2 linked regions of the Bombyx mori genome follow. Each later gene encodes a partner of the first gene's protein in a complex. Links are inferred from orthologs where the notes say so. Each region holds a gene or a part of one and is shown on either strand. Other genes may lie near its edges. The genes, in order: integrator complex subunit 9 and integrator complex subunit 11.

The links.
Region 2: the proteins of integrator complex subunit 9 (region 1) and integrator complex subunit 11 are in contact, whole or in part, in a cryo-EM structure (PDB 7SN8), measured with the Drosophila melanogaster proteins. The link is inferred for Bombyx mori from reciprocal best matches to the Drosophila melanogaster genes IntS9 and IntS11. Residues at the interface, in NP_648838.3 of Drosophila melanogaster: Glu128, Tyr198, Asp199, Glu200, Lys201, His230, Asp333, Ser334, Ala337, Tyr338, Asn340, Ile341, Glu344, Gln351, Val354, Tyr355, Leu356, Pro357, Asp358, Asp359, Pro360, Arg509, Lys510, Leu511, Asp512, Arg513, Ile514, Tyr515, Ile516, Ser518; in NP_651721.1 of Drosophila melanogaster: His94, Lys97, Ala98, Pro135, Thr137, His139, Gln140, Ser141, Glu149, Lys151, Lys274, Thr277, Tyr278, Lys280, Met281, Phe282, Ile283, Thr284, Trp285, Phe294, Val295, His296, Val450, Lys451, Ile452, Pro453, Val454, Asp455, Ala456, Ser457.

Annotation. Positions count from the first base shown.
Region 1 is NC_085111.1:141,675-146,024, reverse strand, and holds the start of integrator complex subunit 9, read left to right. Parts: upstream 1-1,472; 5' UTR 1,473-1,763; coding exon 1,764-1,772; intron 1,773-2,465; coding exon 2,466-2,657; intron 2,658-3,274; coding exon 3,275-3,477; intron 3,478-3,667; coding exon 3,668-4,350. UniProt on the Drosophila melanogaster protein: Component of the integrator complex, a multiprotein complex that terminates RNA polymerase II (Pol II) transcription in the promoter-proximal region of genes.
Region 2 is NC_085124.1:3,287,554-3,291,876, reverse strand, and holds integrator complex subunit 11, read left to right. Parts: upstream 1-1,362; 5' UTR 1,363-1,673; coding exon 1,674-3,479; 3' UTR 3,480-3,550; downstream 3,551-4,323. Other genes in the region: GDP-mannose 4,6 dehydratase, read right to left, coding at 460-528; probable tubulin polyglutamylase ttll-15, read right to left, coding at 3,559-3,672. UniProt on the Drosophila melanogaster protein: RNA endonuclease component of the integrator complex, a multiprotein complex that terminates RNA polymerase II (Pol II) transcription in the promoter-proximal region of genes.

The sequences.
Region 1 (4,350 bases):
ACACGGATATAAATAAAATAAAATTCTTTTATAAACCGAATGCATGTATGTGTGTATGTACGTAGGCCTTTGACTGTATTCCTAACCTAGGTTTTTATGTTTAATAAACTCCGCATCCATTCACGGACCGGTTATTATTATTCGACTCGACTGTGTTATGTACTTACCTAGCGGTTGTACAGAGTTGTGTTTTTTTTATTGCTTGGATGGGTGGACGAGCTCACAGCCCACCTGGTGTTAAGTGGTTACTGGAGCCCATAGACATCTACAACGTAAATGCGCCACCAACCTTGAGATATAAGTTCTAAGGGTCTCAGTATAGTTACAACGGCTGCCCCACCCTTCAAACCGAAACGCATTACTGCTTCACGACTGAAATAGGCAGGGCGGTGGCACCGCCCGCGCGGACACACAAGAGGTCCTACCACCAGTAATTATGCAAATTATAATTTTGCGGGTTTGATTTTTATTACACGATGTTATTCCTTCACCGTGGAAGTCAATCGTAAACATTTGTTGAGTACGTATTTCATTAGAAAAATTGGTACCCGCCTGAGATTCGAACACTGGTGCATCGCTCAACACGAATGCACCGGACGTCTTATCGCTTAGGCCACGACGACTATTCTTACACTTACACTGTATACATATAAAATATATAATTACCTACAACAACGTAACAAATGTTGTGTACAATAATAGCATAACGGACTTGGATATGACTTCCCACCAACATAATTTATAATCTGAATTGACAAGTAGATAATCTAATTTTTATCACACTAAACTTGACTGGAATAACACTAGGTATATCTGCTATACAGTACAGTATAATAATAACAATGTATTTCATGGTTCATAATATATTACTTACCAAAGGTTTTACAAATAGCTTAATAAATAGACATACCCGATCCTGTGGACCGAACGGTAACAAGTCGACGTCGCTCTAAACACGTCATTACGGATCCTCCCGATTCATTATCGGTACTTTTAAGTACACACCTCAAGCACCGGTCACCGTCCTCGCCGAACCCGTCGCTTGTGACGAAGGGCTCGACGAGTAAATTAACCCATAGACATAGCACACTGAGTTTCTCTGCTCTTGCTAGGGCCAGTGTTAGCAATACTTCCGGTTTGAGCACCGTGAGTTCACCTACACGTTAGGGCGAAGCTGAAATAGCCTCTCACGGCTATCAGCATAGGTAGGAAAAAAAATGGACTAGAGAGTGATACGGCTAACTCTTTTTCCCGAGGAATGCAAATGCAACGAGTTTCATTGTTTCCGAATAACAAATTCAACGAATATGGAACCGTAGTACAAATTTTGTTAATTAATGAATTACATTTAATATCGTTTGTTTCATTTTACTTTTACACAACAGATATAACTCGTTTGTTACAAATATTTAGTTGTATGTATTGAATATGCTCCCTTTGCCTGTCGATTAAAACAATCAAATGCTTATCTGACAGATAATATCTGTAGGTAGGTAACTAGAACCTACCTACCTACATAATATAAATATATTTTGTTTAGCTATTTTGAAAGTACTTATGTACCTAATATTCATTTATTTCAATTAATGATGTTGTACAGTTATGTATTATCTATGCAATACACTGAATAAACGGTTCATCAAACCTAAGCAAAAATAATATTGAAGCCGGACAAATTGATAAAGCAGTTACTAATACATAAACATACTTTAGTAATAAACAATATTCGTCCGCAAATTCGAAATATAATATATAAACTAATAATGAAGCTTGTAAGTATGCAATATCTTCACTAATTTATTCAAAACACTTGAAAAATATGTAAGAGTTGAACTTGAAACACAAAATACAAAAATAATATTAGAATTCATACTATTAGAAGATTGTGTTAGAATTAAACCTGCAGGACGCGAAAACAAACCAAATTGCAGTGGAGTGCTCCATTTGCAAGTAGTTTATTAATATAGTAAATTATTTTACAAGAACAGCCCATACGTTTTTACTGTAATGATATCCTGGGTAGAGAGGCAGTCTCCCACATCCCCACAATTTTTACATACAATTTTGTTTAAGTGATTATTTCATAGCTTTTTGGGATATGAACCTAATACTAGAGACTAAAGGCACCACAAGATGAATGATACCTCTAAGAATTTGTCCCTCTCTTCTATTGAAGTATTGATTGCTTGGATCCAATGACTAACCAGTTAAATCGGAATGCATGATTGTGTCTGAACAGAAATAAGTAGAATGGTTTGAAATTGTCATAAATCATTCTATGTGTACTCTAAGATCACAGCTGTTATACAGGTACTATAGGGACAGAAAAATAGGTGTGGCTTTAAAATACCAGGATGGCTCCACTATTCTGGCATATCTGTTTAATTGAGCATTACCATATGGACCCCTGACTTATAAATAATATAACCAGTGCTTACCTTAAACAATGTTTGATTTGATTACAGTATTGTTTAAGCAATGATGCAGCGAAGCCTTGCTTTGTGTTGTCTTTCAAAGAGCTCCTCATAATGTTGGATTGTGGGCTGTCATCCCACTCTGTGCTCAACTTCCTACCGCTGCCTCCAGTGCCTAGCACTCGACTCGCATCCCTGCCTAATTACACACCACCACATCACAATGATCCACTCTTGGAAGGGGTATAAAAATTAAGCTTATTACATTTCTTATTATCATTATTTATATATCAGTACCTAGGTATAAAGTGGTTACTGGAGTCTCTGGTCATGACAACATTATTACCACCACCCACCTTGAAACATGAAGTTGAATTCTCAGTTGTATTGTATGATGGTTGTTCCATTCTTCAAACAAGAGGCAATCACAGCAAAAACAGACAGGATACTGAATCCACCACTAAATATGGTATAGTCAGTATGCTGCTTTAATACTCACAGAATGCTTATTCTCTGGTGAATCCATTAGGTACAGTCTTTAAGCAAAAAAACACATTTCATCAATTAATTATTTTATATACAAACATTAAATTAATAAAAAACTCAAAACTCCTCATTAAAATAATTTTTAAACTTATCCAACTGTATCTCTCAGTTACATTACACGTACCTTCCAAACTGCATTCAACAGATTTCTGATATAAAAAATCAAAGGGACTCATATTTTAAATCTGACTCCAATGCTATGATTAAAAACCCTATGTCAAATAAGTAATAACATGTTAAATTTAATGATATTTCTTTATAATAAAAACAGAATCAATATCAGGTGATATTTAAACTAACCCATCTCATTACAGGAACTAAAGGAGTGTTGCGGCAGAGTGTTTGTTGATAGCATGCCTGAGTTTTGTCCGCCTCTCGATAAAGTAGTCGATTTTTCTCAGCTAGATGTAATTTTAATCTCAAATTACACTTGCATGCTGGCCCTGCCTTTTATAACAGAAGATACAGGTTTCAAGGGCCAAGTGTATGCCACTGAACCTACTCTACAAATAGGAAGGTATTCATTCTCTATTCTTTTTATGCCTTCAAAAGTATAATGATAAAAAATATACATTTCTGTATTGTATATATGGTTATAGAGTATATAACAACACCATATTATTGTAAACAGAATATGCTTATTGAAAGTACAGTATCAGAATGGATTGAAGCAGCAGAAAGATGTAATAAAGATAATATATTTGGAGGTTCTACCTGGAGGAGCTGTCGGAGTGGGTGTGCTCAAGCGGGTCGGGGTCGGGCTCGGCCAAGCGTTGGAAGGAGGCGGTGCACGTGCTGCCCGCCCCCCTCGCCGACGTGGTGCGGCCCCGCGCGTGGCGCCGCCTGCTCGCCCCGCACCACGTCGCCCGCGCCCTCGCGCGCGTCCGCGTGGTCGGCTACGACGAGAAGGTCGACCTGTACGGCGCGCTCGACGCCACCGCCGTCAGCTCCGGCTTCTGTCTGGGCTCCGCCAACTGGGTGCTGCGCTCCGCCCACGAGAAGGTCGCCTACGTGAGCGGCTCCAGCACGCTCACCACGCACCCGCGCCCCATCAACCAGGCGGCTCTGCGGGGCGCCGACCTGCTGGTGCTGGCCGCGCTCACGCAGACGCCGGCGCACAACCCGGACCACATGCTGGGCGACCTGTGCGTGCACGCCACCGTCACGCTGCGCGCCGGCGGCTCCGTGCTGTGCCCCGTGTACCCCAGCGGCGTGCTGTACGACCTGCTGGAGTGCCTGTCGGCGCACCTGGACACGGCGGGGCTGGCGCACGTGCCGCTGTACGTGGTGTCGCCGGCGGCCGAGGCGTCGCTGGCCTACAGCAACATCCTGGCGGAGTGGGTGTCGGCGGGCAAGCAGGCGCGCGTGTACCTGCCCGAGGAGCCGTTCC
Region 2 (4,323 bases), on another chromosome or scaffold:
GTGAGTGGTTACCGTCGCCCATAGATTTCAGCAATGCCAGGGGCAGAGCCATTCCGCTGCCTAGCGCTAAGTACTCTCCAAAAACCTCGTTTGAAGAAGGACATATCATAGTGTTCAGGAAATGAGGAGAGCTCATTCCAAAACAGAATGGTACGTGGTAAAAAAGATGGAAATGCTCTGTGGATGAACTCAGTGGCTCCAGGTAGTAGGTGTGAGGGTAAAATCGAGATGATGGTATCATCTCAAAAAATTCCTCAGCGGCGAAGTCCCTCCGCACACCCAAGAGTTAAAATAAAAATATATATAATTTGATTTCGACTTTAATTTCTTAATCATTGTTATTTTTACAATAATTTTTGGTACGATACACGTACCGCTATGGTAATTCAACAGAATGATTATTTAAATAAATTAAGTACGTGTAAAAAAATCATTTTAAACATTTAGGATAGTACATACCTGGCCAGTTATTCCAGTTATTAAGGCAATTTTTTTCGGATCGATTACATTAGAACTATCTCCGGACATATTCAAATTTTAGGCAATCAAATTTTAAATTGTTATAGAAAATGTAGTTTACACGTCCTCACTTCGGTACCGGCTCTGGCTGATAAGGCGTTTCTCTTGGCTCTTATCACAACAGTACTTACAAGCTATACACAGTAATCATAACCTAAGGAAATTCAATGGTGTCGAATAAATAAACGATATTAATTAAGACAACGATTTTTAGTGTTGCAATAAAGTTAAATATTATAAATCAGTACTTAAGCTCAATTGGTAATACGATTCCCACTTTTGTTTGCACAGCCATGGCACAGCCTAAACCAAAACACAACATAATACACATAGATTATACACTTAATATATTTGAGAACAATACATACAAAGACTATCACAATTTTTTTAAGGGATTTGTGACCTGATAACTAAGACCTTTAAGTAATGTCTTGTTGACTTCGACTTTTTGGTGGGAACGTGAGGAGTGAAGTTGAGTGATTTGTTTTATTTTGTCTATTTAATGTTTCTTCAGGTTGAAATGTACAATAACGTTGGTTTATTAACTGCCTAATATCTGTGAAAGTGCACAAATGTGGGAAAATGAAGCCAAGCCGCTGGACGTAACTTCTCTGGATCCTCCAAAAAGTCTACTGAAAAATCTCAGTAAATGACCGCCATTTTACTGAGATTATATTTCATCCCATATCATTTCATCTCCTTTCATTTAATTTCATCCCAGTTGATTAATGCCCCAAATTAATCACCTTCATTTCATTTCACTCCATTTATCATTTTTCATAAAAATAAGAATATAAATTAAAATAAGACATGACCTAAAAGTCTTAGTTACCAGGTCATAAAATACCTTAAAAAAATAATAATGATATACACATACCGCTTTGACATTAGTGACTATAGATAATACAACCCATGTTGCGGAATTGTGATGATAATTAACAGCAAATTACTTAAAAAATATTGTTTGTTATTTATAAATAACATGTTTTAGGGTTAAATGAGTTTTAACAGTATGTAATAAATTATTTTTATGAAACATCGTACTGATTATTAATACACCACGGTACCTACTGGCGAATCATTTCGTGTCGTTAATATTCATAATCTTGAAACGTATATTTTCATAAGCTTCCTTGGATGTGGTAAAACTTATAATGCCGGATATTAAGATTACGCCACTCGGAGCGGGCCAGGATGTTGGTCGGAGCTGCATCTTGCTAACCATGGGTGGCAAAAACATAATGTTAGATTGTGGTATGCATATGGGCTACAACGATGAAAGAAGATTTCCTGATTTCTCTTACATTGTCCCGGAAGGCCCTATAACGAGTCAGATTGACTGCGTTATTATATCACATTTTCACCTAGATCACTGCGGTGCACTGCCCTATATGTCCGAAATGATTGGTTATACCGGCCCTATTTACATGACACACCCGACTAAAGCCATAGCACCAATCCTTCTCGAGGATATGAGGAAAGTCGCAGTGGAGCGCAAAGGTGAGTCAAACTTCTTCACTTCCCAAATGATTAAAGATTGTATGAAAAAAGTGACAGCTGTGACTCTCCATCAATCAGTAATGGTGGATAATGAATTAGAAATCAAAGCTTATTACGCAGGACATGTCTTAGGAGCTGCAATGTTCTGGATCAGAGTAGGGTCACAATCTGTGGTTTACACAGGTGATTACAACATGACACCTGATAGGCACTTAGGAGCCGCCTGGATTGACAAATGTAGACCTGATCTGCTCATAACAGAATCCACATATGCAACAACCATAAGAGATTCAAAACGCTGTCGTGAAAGAGATTTTCTCAAAAAAGTTCATGAATGTGTAGAAAAAGGAGGTAAGGTTCTGATTCCGGTGTTTGCATTAGGAAGGGCACAGGAACTTTGTATTTTATTGGAAACATATTGGGATCGTATGAATCTTAAATATCCAGTTTACTTTGCTCTTGGACTGACAGAAAAAGCAAACAATTACTATAAAATGTTTATAACATGGACCAATCAAAAAATAAGAAAGACATTTGTTCAAAGAAATATGTTTGACTTTAAGCATATTAAACCATTTGACAAGACATACATTGATAATCCCGGTGCTATGGTAGTTTTTGCTACGCCTGGAATGTTGCATGCTGGATTGTCACTAAACATCTTTAAGAAATGGGCTCCTTATGAGCAGAACATGGTGATTATGCCAGGATTCTGTGTGCAAGGCACAGTCGGACACAAGATCCTCAATGGAGCAAAGAAGGTTGAATTTGAAAACAGACAAGTGGTTGAAGTTAAAATGGCAGTAGAATACATGTCATTTTCAGCTCATGCTGATGCAAAAGGAATTATGCAATTGATACAATATTGTGAACCCAAAAATGTATTGTTGGTACATGGTGAAGCTCAAAAAATGGAGTTTTTGAAAGATAAAATAGAGAAGGAATTCAAAATTAGTTGTTTTATGCCAGCTAATGGTGAAACATGTGTTATAAATACTCCAACAACCATTCCTATTGATGTCTCGTTGAGGTTGCTGAAAGCTGAAGCAGTGAGATACAATGCCCAACCACCTGATCCAAAACGCAGGCGAGTTGTTAATGGGATTCTGTGTGTGAAAGATAACAGGCTATCATTACTAGACATTGATGAGATGTGTGATGAAATCGGAATAAACAGGCATATCATTAGATTCACAAGTACAGTTCGTTTTGAGGATCCGGGGCCAGCTATCAAGACTGCTGAAAAATTGCAGAATTTACTGACGGAAAAATTAGAAGGCTGGACTATAACTATATCGGAAGGAAACATATCAGTTGAGTCAGTACTCATCAAGGTAGAAGGTGAAGATGATAGCACAAAAAACATTTATGTTTCTTGGACAAACCAAGACGAAGACTTAGGTAGCTATATATTAGGGCTCCTGCAATCAATGGTTCAATATAGTCCAATGAAAGAATAAGAAATGTCATGTTTTAGGATTTTTATTATGAATTATTTTGTAATTTTGAATAAATTAGTTTTAGTTAATAATATTTGTTTTATGTACACCAAGTGATATCCACATTGCATTTTCCCTGGTACCATAAGTACTGAAGTCTGTTTGGTTTGTTCAAGTGCTTCAAGTCCTCTTCTTTTAAAGTAGCATTGGCTTTCTGGAATATAAAAATAAAATGTCAATAAAATACAATATTGAGTTTCACCTAGTGTGGACAAAAGAAAGTTTCTATAAATGCAAAGCAACATCTTTTTTATGGTTAAAAATAATGGAAGGTGATTTATGGTTTAGGATTCTTTTTCCATGGTGCCACAGTATGAGTCTCATAGAAAATGTGTCTTACTTCTGCACTACCTACCGATCTTAAATTGGTGTCCGTTATACATGTAGTCGTCGTGGCCTAAGGGATAAAACGTCCGGTGCATTCGTGTTGAGCGATAACCCGTTTTTCGAATCCCAGGCAAGTACCAATTTTTCTAATGAAATACGTACTCAACAAATGTTCACGAATGACTTCCACGGTGAAGGAATAACATCGGGTAATAAAAATCAAACCCGCAAAATTATAATTTACGTAATTACTGGTGGTAAGACCTCATGTGAGTCCGCACGGGTAGGTACCACGACCCTGCCTATTTCTGCCGTGAAGCAGTAATGCGTTTCGGCTTGAAGGGTGGGGCAGCCAGCCGTTGTAACTATACAACCTTGCAACTTATATCTCAAGGTGGGTGGCGTATTTACGCTGTAAATGTCTATGGGCTCCAGTAACTACTTAACACCAGGTGGGCTGTGAGCTCGTTCACCCATC